2 linked regions of the Tribolium castaneum genome follow. The protein of the gene in region 2 interacts with the protein of the main gene of each other region in a pairwise test. Links are inferred from orthologs where the notes say so. Each region holds a gene or a part of one and is shown on either strand. Other genes may lie near its edges.

What was found.
Region 1: the proteins of Ubc4 (region 2) and E3 ubiquitin-protein ligase MARCHF2 interact in binary tests that used the Homo sapiens proteins (3 or more experiments, as listed by UniProt). The link is inferred for Tribolium castaneum from reciprocal best matches to the Homo sapiens genes UBE2K and MARCHF3.

Annotation. Positions count from the first base shown.
Region 1 is NC_087395.1:3,975,809-3,982,090, forward strand, and holds E3 ubiquitin-protein ligase MARCHF2, read left to right. Parts: upstream 1-2,658; 5' UTR 2,659-2,799; coding exon 2,800-2,925; intron 2,926-2,975; coding exon 2,976-3,617; 3' UTR 3,618-3,626; downstream 3,627-6,282. Other genes in the region: pcs (SH3 domain-binding protein 5 homolog), read left to right, coding at 4,373-4,477. UniProt on the Homo sapiens protein: E3 ubiquitin-protein ligase which may be involved in endosomal trafficking. E3 ubiquitin ligases accept ubiquitin from an E2 ubiquitin-conjugating enzyme in the form of a thioester and then directly transfer the ubiquitin to targeted substrates.
Region 2 is NC_087394.1:31,293,148-31,300,348, forward strand, and holds Ubc4 (ubiquitin-conjugating enzyme E2-22 kDa), read right to left. Parts: upstream 3,767-7,201; 5' UTR 3,411-3,766; coding exon 3,348-3,410; intron 3,287-3,347; coding exon of another isoform or gene 3,265-3,286; exon of another isoform or gene 3,133-3,264; intron 3,104-3,132; coding exon 2,951-3,103; intron 2,902-2,950; coding exon 2,819-2,901; intron 2,773-2,818; coding exon 2,609-2,772; intron 2,561-2,608; coding exon 2,424-2,560; 3' UTR 1,968-2,423; downstream 1-1,967. Other genes in the region: E3 ubiquitin-protein ligase RFWD3, read right to left, coding at 1-209, 264-291; Prps (ribose-phosphate pyrophosphokinase 1), read left to right, coding at 3,265-3,286, 3,851-4,055, 4,130-4,313, 6,326-6,391, 6,948-7,201. UniProt on the Homo sapiens protein: Accepts ubiquitin from the E1 complex and catalyzes its covalent attachment to other proteins. In vitro, in the presence or in the absence of BRCA1-BARD1 E3 ubiquitin-protein ligase complex, catalyzes the synthesis of 'Lys-48'-linked polyubiquitin chains.

The DNA of each region.
Region 1 (6,282 bases), on a different chromosome or scaffold from region 2:
AGAAAGTTTTCGGAAATGAAGAAGAAGGCAAAAAAAAACAGAAGAAGTTAAAGGAAACGTTTGAGAAAATTTTATAAAGTGAAGAAAAAAGATGAAAGAGTTGAAAATAGTGAGAGATTAAGCTTAAAAAAAGCTGTCTGAATACAATTTCAGAACCAAAACAGAGAAATTAGTTAATGTGACAAGAACTACTTTGTCTACAAACAAGCTAAAATAGAAAAATATTGAGTTTTATAAAGCGAAGAAAGTTTTAAGGTGAGACAAGGTAAGTAAGTTTCTTTGAGGCGAAGACGAAGATGATGAGTTAAGTTTAAAATAAAGGTCTTGAAAAATGAAGACCATCCTTAAATAAGACTTACAACAAGCAAATAATGAAAACTATTAAAAAAGTATCTCAGAGAAGTTAAAGAAAAAAGTATAGAATTGGTACGACTTTTGTTGTATATGATCGAGCATATTAACAAAGAGATATTTAATTAATTAACAAAAAGCTCTAAAAGGACTTAATGCTTTAACGTCCATTATATCCATTATGTTGGTAAGATATTCGCGTTCAATCCAGGGTCTCTGGTTCGAATTATTGCGAATCCAAGTTTTTTTTAATTTCGTAATATTGCGCAATTTGATGTATTACTGTATTATAATTATATGTATTATAATAGCTAAATAGCTCAGTTAGTAAAGAGTTAGATAGATAATTACAAGGTTTTGAGTTCGATTCCTATCGCCGCCTTTTTTATTGAGAATGCAGTTGTTCTTAAATCTGAACTGGTGGGATCTCGAGTGGCCATAGAGATTGACGGGCAACTGAGTGCTGCCAAATATTCTCAAAACATTTCTCGGTTTTAGGACTCTTCCATCTATTCATGACTTACAGTAATATCGAACAACAATGACCTGTCCTGTTGATTCGCCAAAGGCTCATGAGTCGAAGACGAATTCAGGATTGATGGTCGTGCCGATGATTCTCCTCGATAAACACATACCTATAAACGGTATAAGCTGTCGTGAAAGAGGAGATGCTGTAAGAATAGATCGGATTGTAAGGTTTTTTGGGTGCTTTTAATGTAATTTTGTTTGATTTTGGATGATTTTCCCGTGTGCCCTTTTTCTGGTGGTCTATTGAGTTTCGAGTATTTTTTGGGAGCATAAAAAATTATGCTCTTTGATTTGGTGTTGTTTTTCTCTTTTTTTTTGCATGCGCCAATTGGTCTGGTCCAGAAATAAAAAGCCATTTTGGAGTGTCTAAAAACACGGTATGTTGTAAGTTTTTTAGAGTGCTCGTGAGATAATTTTACATGATTTTGGGAGATTAACGGTTTTTTCGTGTGCCCAATCTTTGGTGGTCTACACATTTTTGGGAACTGTTAGGGTGGATAAAAATTAATGATTTTTGAGAGGTTTTAGGCCCTATTCAGTTGTTTTCTTTTGGGCAAACAGCTAAATTTGTAAATTTTGCCTTGTTTTTTAAGTCGCTTTAAGTTGTTATTTATTGATTTTTCCTTGCGCCAATAGGCTTGGTCCAGAAATGATCAAAGCTGTTTTGAGGTGTGTGAAATTTGGAGATTTGACAATGGTTTTAGAGCAGTTTTGAGGTAATTTTAATTGATTTTCGCATGCGCCAATTGACTTGGTCCAGAAATGAAGAGCTATTTTTGGGGTGTCTAAAATCAAGGCATTTTGTAAGTTTTTTAGATCTTTTTCGGATGGTTACTTTTGGGAAAACTGTAAATTTGTAGGATTCTACCCTGTTTTTCTTTTGGTGGCCTACATATATTTGGGAACTTTTGGAGTGGATAAAAATTAATGATTTTTGAGAGGTTTTAGGCCCTATTCGGTTGTTTGCTTTTGGGCAAACAGCTAAATTTGTAAGGTTCTAACATGTTTTTTAAGACGCCAAATGTTCTGGCCCAGAAGTAACATTCTATACTCTACTTTTATATGTAAGCGATTCTCTACCACACACCACTGAGTTGGTGCGCCAGTTTTTTAGCACCCGGTACATAAAAATTTCGCTAAAATGTTTTGTATTTTATATTTATATTTGTATATTAGCGCAAAAACTAAGTTTCAGCGATTTTGCTGGTAATGTTTTATTCATATTCTTATACAATTATTCTTGTGGTGTTTAATTTTATTCACTTTGTTACTTGCTGTTGTCGCGACCGAATAAACGCCTTATAAATAAAATCAAAATTTTACGGTTTAGAAGCTTCAAATTCGTTGGCTAATGATATTAAATATTATTGACATATTGTTTTGATTTTGTTATACTTTATTTTTGTATCTTGCTACAAATTGTAGTAACAAGCCACAAAGTTAAGTGCATTTTTTTTCATGTAAGATTTTAAATATGTGGTACTTACTAATAAATAACATCTTGTATTGACTTTGTTTTTATTTTATTTTTAATGTCTTACTTCAAACTGTAGTAGAAAAAGATACCCTGAAGGTAAGTGTATTTTTTTATTAAGAACATTTGATTTTTGTTTTGTGTTTTATTTCACAAACCTCCACGTGGCTGTTCCTGAACAAGTTACTTATTAATTTAACTAATTAGAACAATCTTTATATGTACTGTGTATAGCTAGTTGCATTTTTACAGGCGTAAAATTATGTTTAAATAATAATAAACTAATTATTTTTGACTCTCAGCGATGAGGTCGTAAACAGGTTGGAGCTTTTCAGCACCTGTAGCCATAGTGGCTTAACTTTCATTACGTTGGTGCCGCTTGGTGCCGCTCCAAATGTCACAAATTTCAAATTACATAACGCGGGCTTTAGCACCAAAACAAAAAAATGAAGCCTTCTTCATCCCCCTGTAACGCCTGTCTGGACCCCAAACTATCCATAATTTCAGTGCTGTGCCGCATTTGTTATGACAACGACAAAGACGAAGCTTTGATAGCCCCCTGTCATTGCAAGGTGCATTCCCTACATCTCCCATTGATTTTTAACAAAAAAAAAACCTGTAGGGTACTGTAGCATTCGTCCACAGGAGTTGTCTCGAGCGATGGTTAGCCGAATCCAACACCACAATGTGCGAACTGTGTCATGTTGTCTTTCGAACCGAACGTTCCCCCAAATACACTTCACAGCAGTCAATTTGGCGGTGGTTGCGGAGCCACCGGAGCCCCGGGGGCATCGGTAGGGGGGTCCGGAGCGATATTATCGCATGCACGGTTATAACCCCCGTTGCTATAATCATAACTTACGTCTGCTTGTTTTCTTCCGATTATTACAACCAGAAAAAATTTATTATGGTCCCGGCTGCTCGTTGGACTTCTGTCTCTCTTCTCATAATGATTGGGATAATGCTGATTGGTTATTACTTGTGGGTTTATTCAGTTATTCGGCTTCATTCACGAATGTGGTACAACTGGTGGCAAAGAGAATGTGTCGTGAGGTACATACCCCCCAGTACGGCCCATATTTGCTGCCACAGCCCCCTTGAGACAGCCAACCCAAACAATACCCCTACTGAAGACAATGAAGACGCTAGAAGTAGAAACGACAGTGAAGTTGAGCAAAATAATGAAGAGGTAGAACAAGGGGGCTCCGAACCAACTGTTGTCATTGAAATGCCTGAAGACGAAAATAAAGAAACGACTGTTTGAGCAATCTTATTTATATATTTATTAATTTGTTGCATATTACAAGAGTCTCGTATAATATATTCCCTGATTTATCACGCCTTTGATTAATAAATAACTAATTTCAATTGAGAGAAAAGTGAGGTTAGGTTAAACGTCAAACGTTTCAAAACAATGCTCCTAAAGAGGAGTTCACAAGTTGTGTACTTTATTCCAACAATTTCCTCAAAACTTGAAACTAATTGATAAAGCAAATAGTAATTTTTGTAGAAGCATTTTGGAAACAATTTGAAGTGTGGCTCCATGTTCTTTGTTTATTTTATACGTTAGGTGTAGTTATAATAATGTGGGTCATGTGTCCCGTAGACGGGCCTTTAGAATCATCCTGAAATGACAAGTGACATTTCACAACTCTGGCACTTATCTCAGCGGTGCGTTATTAGTGTGGTCTTTTTCTTGCACACGGGAACTCTGGCGACGTGTGTCGTCTCTTATTGCAACTTTCTCCCAGTATGACGTTTGCCTTTTCGTTGTGTTTGTGCTTCTAATCTGATAAAATAATTATTTTGAGTTAATTGTTGTGTTACATTTGTGTGTAGCGTTCGTTAGTTGTGTTGAGATCGTCTCGTAGAATAGTTTGAGTGTGGTGACACCTCATGTGATAAAAATAGCATTAACGTCATTAATTATGTTTAATTAGTTCCCCATACAATACAATACATGACTAAAATGTGATACAACAATCGTAAGACTGAAAATAGGTTGTTATTCAATCGAAGATGAGTGAAAACGAAGACAATGAATTGGACCCTCGAATACAGATCGAACTCGAGAAGCTCAACACCACCACAGATGAAATCAATCGACTAGAAATAGAATACGATGTAAGCCCCCATTTTGTACTTTATTTTTGCAGGTAAATTTTTACTTTAGCTACTTCTGGATTTTTGAAAATTTTTTTTTTGCATTTTGCTTTAAAAAGCCTCTAGATCAAAGATATGACCATGAAAGTTTGTGCAAATGCCCCGTTTTCGAAAAATTCGACTTTGAATGACCTTGACCTAGACTTTTTAAATTTTATTAACACTCTAATAAATGATATTAGCCGTAAATATAACTATAAATGAGGCAAGGCGCCTACAGATGATAGCCCACAGGCTGGGGCTTCGCCCCAGCGACCTAAAAATAAACATACCCCACGGACGATTAAACTCGAAAATGTTGAACTCGAAACGTGGAATAGTGATTTTTATGGAGCTACAGCGCGTACAGGTCGTAGGGTACAGGCTGGGGCTTCGCCCCAGCAAACTAAAAATAAACACCCCACGAACAATTAAACTCGAAACCGTGGAACTCGAAACGTGGAATAGTGGTTTTTATGGAACTATGTTGCGCGTGGCAACTAAAAGGAAACATACCCCACGACCAATTAAACTCGAAAACGTGGAACTCGACACGTGGAATAGTGTTTTTTATGGAGCTAGGGTGCCGTACAGTTCGTGGCAGGAGGCTGGGGCTGCGCCCCAGCTAACTAAAAGGAAATATACACCACGATTGGTAAATTAACCTCAAGAACGTAGCACTCACAAAAAAATACCTTGTTCACCACTAGTAAGTAAAATAGTAATGGAGTGGTGTTGTTGGTAAATTGCATGAAGAGAAATGCGGGAATGCATCCCCACTTCCGTCAATCAGCCAATCAGAGCACAGAGACATAAATTCAAATTGCAAAATATGAAAAAATACTTTTTAATGAAAAAGGTATAATACGTCATTTAAATTCATTCTGGGAATACCCGAAGGTGTTATAATCATAACAAACACGCAGGTGCGATTCTTACCTGTTGAAGCTAAACAATAACAACCAATCAGAAATAAGCACACGCAACGCATGCACACCCTGGTGGCGAACGTTGTATCCCTTAAAATCAACAAAAATGGCGATTCAAGTGAAATGAGTGAAAATAAAAATTATTTTTGTAATGTTATTTTCAATTTGCACAAGAAAATTCATAGTGTACGGTCATCAGGGCACTCAGAGGAATCGTTTGGCGTAAGTTTCAGCTTGAAAATCCAGAAGTAGTTAAAGTAAAAAATTACCAATGTTTCTTGTGTTAAAATCACAAAAAACAATTTTTCTAATGAAAAATGAACATTTACAATATTGTTGATGTTCTACCAGCCCCAGTTAAAATTACGATAGTGGCGTTCTCTGGTGGTTCATTCTTTGCGAAATGGCGGGAAATTTAAATGTGACATTAAGCTGTTACTTTACATGTCTTATATCATAAATAGGCAACTTTTGAACTATTGAAACATGTTTGACAGTATTTTAGGCTAAAACACAGTAATTATTCCTCAAATTTCGTAAAGAATCGGCTTAAAAATTTTGTGTCTTGACATTTTACTAACACTGTACTTGAAAGCGACAACAGCCTAAGTTTATATGTTTTTTCAAAAAAATAAATAATAATTAAAAGTGAACAGTGGAAAAAGTGATCAGCATAATGTTAGAACAACAATGTATTAAGACCAAATTATTTATAAAACATAGTGACCACTGGAAAATTATTTTAATTTTTTTCACCTGTAACGACTGGACTTTTTGGACTTTGGTAGTATTTACTTATTTGAATGTAACATCATCTTGTGTTGAAGAAAAAAATGTGAAGATGGAGGACAATTTAAG
Region 2 (7,201 bases):
GGGGGTGCTCGCCACTGACTCGGTGGGGGACAGTCTTTCGATTTCGTTGGCTTGTGGCACTAGGGGGAACCCCACGTCGTTGTAGGTGGCGGGGGGCTCGTTATTATCTACGTTTATTGCTACTAATGCTAAGGGGTGGATCTCCTCCACGCGCGGGGAGATTATCTGCAAGGGGTAGTCCTCAGAGCCTTCAACTTCCATCTCATTTTCTGAAACGGTTGACTTGTGTGATAATTCGCACGGAATAACGAGTTTATGGTTACCTCCGTGGTTGTAGTCATCCAAGTTCATTACTTTTTGGGTTTTTTTTCAAATAAATTTACAACCTAACCTCAAAAAACTATCCTGTCAATGTCAAATGGCGACGTCAAACTCAAGGACGTTTCAACGTCAACGACCTTCACGTCCTTGCATAAGATTTTTACGCAAAAATAACCACACGGAAATGTTTTTGCGGATTTTTCGTAACCACTAAGTGAAAAATAACTCATCTGATAACTGATAAAAATAAAAAATACAAATAATTCACGATTATGAACTTCCTCCCTGCTGGCAGTCAAATAAGCCTTTAAATCGAAAAGTTGGAAAAAACTTGCGTTTTTTATATTACTGTGGAGTCACAAAGGTTGTTCCAACTCCCGAGAAGGGGTCAAAAAGACTTTTTAGTAAAAATTTACAAAAACCTAACATTGGACAAATTTTGCGATTACATCCCGTATCTTCTTTCTGGATAAAGCTAGAAATTTATTTTTTTTGTAAAAGATTCCACCGTAAATAATGCAGTTTTACGTATTTACACAAGGTTGACTTTTGATAAAAAGAAACTAAAAATTACATTTTCTTGTAACGTCCTGTGTAATGAATTTTTCGATATGAAATGAAGTTAATAACTTAAATAAGTTTTTCATGTAAGAATCATTTCAATATCTGGAACACTCACAGTTATTACAATATAAAATTACCGCAAAATCTGCTCGAGGTGAAATCGCAGCATATTTCTAAAAATGATAAATTAACAAATTACTTTTAATCTAAGGTTACCAACCGTCCTGATTTAGCCAGGACGGGTTTAGGTTTTTACACTTATGTCCTGTTATATATGTTTTAAGTTGCCACCAAAAACACAGAATGTATCTACCTGATTTTTTTTTTCGAATAAAAACTACCGAAAATCTTCGTTTTTTCGAAAAATTTCTAAAACATGTTAATTAGATAAAAAAATTAAGATAACGGGAAAAACCATACATTTTCCGCCAATTTTTCTTCTTTTTTGGTCGAAAATAAGCCCAGATTTCCTAGGAATTCTTGCTTATAAAAGACTAGAAACCCTTAATTTTTGGTGTAATTTGAATAGGTTTTCATAAAAATTTTGCAAAAAAAGCTAAAGATGTTCGCAGCGATGCCAAAATACTAACAAAAAACAACCTTTTTTTCAAGTGTTATGACAAGATTTTACAGTATATGTATATTATTTTAACCGCCCTAACTTTCTGTTAATATTAATATCAAAAACAGTCAAGTGAACATTTTTATGCAAAATTTTCGGCTTTACAATTTTTGTTTAAAACTTTTTTTTCTAGCTTTCAGCGATTTTGAATAATCTGTAAAAAACGCTTTAATTTCGTTTCTTCAACTAAAAAATTCTTTGTCTAAACGTTTTTAACTGCTCCATGTAACTTATATAAAAAAAGCGAGCTTTTGAACATTTCGATTTACAGGCTTATTTGACTGGACCATTGAAATTATTCAATGACTGGACTAATAATAGGTGATTGTAATTGAATTTAAATCTATTTTGAAATAGTACCGAAGGAGTCTCGACCTTTCGTGGTGCTACTTATGTAAATCTGTTGCATAATCAGTGCATAAATTAAGAGTTAATGCGCAACTTTTATTTTCATGGAGTATTTGAGTTTCAAATGGACGTGGATTGTCTTAGGGTTGTAACTCACCTCAGTGCCTGTATATTCAAGATTAAAATTTTATTTTAACAGTATTCAATCGCCGATTTACAAATAAAAACAGTAACTAATTGGAAAGTGGTTATACAAAGCATTTCATTCAATTACCATACTTGAAGTGCTAAAAAACTAATCTGGTGGTTTTCACTAGCAAGAATAAACCGTAATTAATTGAAAGACTTTGTACTCGAAAGAACTAACGATAAGCATCAGTAACATCAATAAATTTCAAACACCAATATTGACAAAAGTTGAAATTAGTTCGCAAGAGCCAAAACAAGACTTTCGTATAGTGATTACTGAGACATAAGGTAAATGCAAACAATCCTTTTATTCATCTTGTACACCTTCAAAATAATTTAAGTCAGTAATCTATTGGGTAGAAAATGAAACTGCGTTTCATAACCAACTGTTGGAAAAGTGTAGAGAGAATATAGTAAAATGGCGGATTAAAATAGTTCACTAACTAAATAACTGTTCAGTTGCTCTTTCTATATCCCAGTTATACGACGACAAAGCGACCCGCGCCTGGTGCTCCTCCACTCCCATATCAACTAGCCTTTTTATTTTATCGTCACATTCTTTATTTACATGGGGACCTGCAAACAGAGCGTCACGCCGTCCTAATTGCAAACTGCATAAATTACCGCCTGCGTAAACATTTGTCCAATGTCTGGCCGTCATTTGAAACATTTCTATATTTTCCTTAAACTGCTTCGCCACCACGGCGTCCTGTGGGTCATCGGGCTCCGCAGCTGAGAGCAGCGCTTGGAGCGACAACAACACCGTCCTCAGCGTCATAGCTGCAGCCCTAGAATTTCATTTAATAACAAATACTACCACGTAATAGAAAGCACCATTGGTCCTTTAAAATGTCTAAGCAGATAGCGCCCGTTACTGATGATATATTCGGGTGCCATATCTTCGTAATGAACCTGACCTGTTACAAAACTCTTAGTCTTTTTTTTCCTGGTTATGTTGAAACGTACCTTGGGTGGATTGAAGGGGTATGTTTCAGGTACTTTAATCTCTAATACGAAGGTGCCCCCTTCGTAGGCCGTGTCCGGGGGGCCCGTGATCTCGCCTTTGAGCTCTGTATAACTATCATTTAAGAGTTCCACTTTGATGGCACATTTTGCTACCTAAATTTCAAACAAGCACGATCGTATTAGCCAAGTTTGTTGATTGTTACGAAATGACGTTGGAGTGATAACCCCTTCGCTTTGAATTTATGGCAGGGGGCATTTTTCAGTAATCAATATTTTACGTTGTGTACTGACAATTTCAAGTGTGAAAATTCGAAATGTCCGAGGAAACCGAGAACGGTAAGTGGCGTTTAGGAGTTAGAATGACATAACAGAAAAACAGTGTTTGCGAAGTTCCTACCTCTTCACTTTTAATAACCTCTTTAAACTCTCGTCGTATCCTTTGTGCTGCTATGTTAGCCATTCTGGTGGGGAAGTTCCTAAATGCAGTAAAACATAACAGATAAACCGTGGCTCTAAAAAATAGCGATTTGTTGACAAAAGTAAAAAATACACTGGCTAAAGATCGATTTTCACACTTTTAATTTCTCACTGAAGTTAGGCAAATTATGAAATGCTAAATGAAGAAATGTCACTTGTTTTCAATAGCATTATAGCCAACTTTACGGAATTTACGCGCGCGCCAAATCGGCCGAAATCTCGCAAATATTCGGGGATTTTCCCTCGGACTGCTGCAACGATGACGTAAGGGCCCCCCCGCGCGATTTCTGTTGACAATTTCGGCGATATTTTCGACGGAAATCTTCGATAAGCAGGGAGTATTTCGTCACAAGGTTTATCATTCTGGAGCGTTGTTTGCCGATAACATTAGACCCCGCTTCTGATTGGCTGCGCGTTTTGCAGTTATGCCCGTTTCCCAGCCCGTACGTGCTAAAAGCTTGTTGCGGGCAAAGTTGGAAAAGTCTTCGTTGATCCTCCAGAGCAGAATGCCGAACATTAAAGTCTTCAGCGGGACCTCGCACCCCGACCTGGCCCAGAGGATCGTGGACCGGCTGGGGATCGACTTGGGCAAAGTGGTTACGAAGAAATTCAGCAACTTGGAAACATGGTGAGTGGGCTTTGGAAATTATTTGCTTATTGACTTGGCTTAAATTGCGACTTATTATTATTATTTTATTTTAGCGTGGAAATTGGGGAGTCCGTCCGTGGGGAAGACGTGTACATCGTGCAGTCGGGCAGCGGGGAAGTTAACGACAACCTGATGGAACTCCTCATCATGATAAATGCGTGCAAAATTGCGTCCGCGAGCAGAGTCACTGCAGTCATTCCATGCTTCCCGTACGCTCGGCAAGACAAGAAGGACAAGGTGAGTGCACAATTGCTCCAATTGTGTACCTGCACATGTGTAGATAACCTAGACGCCACGTGACTTTGTATACATCTGCAAGCGGGTTTGTGGAGACCGTAGTTTTGGTTTTTAGGACAATTAGGGTTGTGGTTTTTCCTATTGACCTGACAAATTAGTCAAGCATCTGGTTTAATAATTGGACAAGTTCAATCCGACCACGTAGTTTATTAATTTGAAACAATTTGTTTACCGTTAGGTCGGCAAAAGGAGCACGTGGTTGAGAGGGCGCCACTGCCGCGACTTAAGTATTTCAAACATGTTTGCTTTGCTTAAGAAATATATGATTTATGATGTGTTAAATAGTCATAAAGGCTTTTTACTAGAATATTAGCAAAGGCATAATAAATGTAACTGCACTATTAAAAGTGATTTTGCTATATCCATTTAACAAAGACAGTCTTTAATTTGTTACTTTTTATTACTACAATTATTGTGTACTTTTAGATTTTATTGATGTTTTTCTTGACACAAAAGTGGAAAAATAAGTCTATTTCTTATCATAATAAATACTAAGTGATTGTGTGATTAAGGTTTGCCAGTATTTAAATATCAAATTCAAAATTTTATACAAATAATATACACTTCCATGCCTAGCCATCACCTGAAACAAATTAGAAGAATGACCAATAGCTCAATAATGCCAATAGATTTTTTGTCAACATGTACTCATTTGAATGTATGCGTTTTTTTCTTATGTAGTTGGTAATCTAGAGGCAAAAACGTGGTCTAATTAAATATTACCGTTCGAAATTTGATTAACTGACTCTTCAGTTTTATTAATTATAATAATCAGCCTTGCCATACAAGAAAAGAAGCCATAAAAACTTACTCTAATTATAAATTCAAATGATTGATTGGTACTATGTATTATAATAACAAGATAAAAAAAACTAGTGGGGAGTCTACAGTTGAAGAGCAGATTTCGAGAAAAATTATTAAATTTTTTTTAATTACTGAAATAATGATTTCAAAACGTGTCTAAATTACATTACGTGTTACTTTTCCTTCAAAAGACCAAATTTTTCTTTAACAAACTATTTTTCATGTGCATCATTCTACTGCTCTACCCAACCGCCTTTATCTTGAATTGTCACAGGACTAAGCAAACGAATTTAGAGAAATCATACGTTTACAAAAAAATTTACAATACACTTGATCACGATTTTTTTAATATCTTTATCTCTTTCAGTAATTTTTTGAAATAATAAGAGTTCCAGGTAAATGGAATTCTTTGCTTGTGGCAGTTTTCAAGTGCAATTTTAAGTAACATTAAAATATTATCATTTTAATTCGGGGTGTTCTTAGTGCAGGTCCCAACTGGCCTGCCCTAATTGTTTTCCCCCTCAAATATTTGTTTATTACAATTTATTGAGTAATTTGAACAAAAATATTTTATTGGTTCCTTATCTGTGTAGCAAAACCACTTTTGCTTTCAATGACGTCTAAGCGAGGAACTAGCCACAGTTCTCTTAATTAATTAAGATTCTGTATATCTATTACTAATTAGCATAACTTAAAAATAGTTGAAATGGTCGGAAATACGTCAATAAGTTCGGGTTCATGTGTGTTTATAAACTGATAATAGTGGAATGTTTAGCAAAATGCATTGCTTTAAATAGTTTTATATTTCAAGAGTAGATCAAGTAATGTAATAATGTTGAACTACTTACACTATCGTGATAATAATTAAACTCTAATTATTATGATTCTTGACTTTTTCTAACGTGACAGAGATTGAAGTTTTTTCTAAAAAGTTGAAAGAAACTTATGTAAAGTGTATTTTTATTTATAATTGCACCTGTTTTTCGTATTCTCAATGTTTCTGTTGACAAATTTCCAATTTTTTCTCTTATGCAACGTAGTTCCCATAAATAAAATTTAATTTTAACTGAAATCATTCGATTAGAATAAAGTAGATTTACACCTTCGTACATTCACATACACACTTACCTGATACGAGATTATTTTAGCCTGCGAATAAAAATGACGTCGAACGCAACGTGGAAAAATGGAAGTCAATCGAATGGAAATTCAGGGTAAAAATTGTTAAATTTTGTGAATGTTGCAGGGGCTTATTGGGAAAGTGTCGTCTGAAAATCATGTTTTTACGCCAGAGTTAGACTAGCTTTGTACGTTGTTAATAACACTGATACAAAACACAGCGTTCATACGTCGCAATTAACAAATAATAATAAAAAAATCATAAATGGGCGCGTAATTGCGACACGCTGTATATGATTCCCGGAACTGCATGCCAGGATTACAAAACGAAGGGGAAACGTACTGTTGTGAAACAATTTTACATTGACGAAATAGTCATTATTATCGTGTAACAAACATTCAGGAGTCAGAAGTCAACTTTTGTTTATCTGTTTATTGTTGGGTAAAAATTATCATCCGAAAAATGATGTAATGATCTTGAAACCATGCGATAATAATAATAATACCGAAGACTTATTAACTAACCCGACATGTCATTTTACTAATTGAAAATTTAGCTAGATAGTGGCTTGGGAATTTTGTTTAGCTTTTAACATGTTAGGTCCCTCGCCCTCGGCCCAATGCATGCCAATTTGAACCTTTGCTCAACAGAGTCGGGCCCCAATTTCGGCCAAACTGGTCGCGAACATGCTCTCGGTGGCGGGGGCCGATCACATCATCACCATGGACTTGCACGCGTCGCAAATCCAGGGCTTCTTCGACATCCCGGTGGATAATTTGTACGCCGAACCGGCGGTGTTGAAATGGATCAAGGAGAACATTGTCGAGTGGCGGAACAGTATAATAGTGTCGCCGGACGCCGGGGGCGCCAAGAGGGTCACCTCCATCGCCGACAGACTCAACGT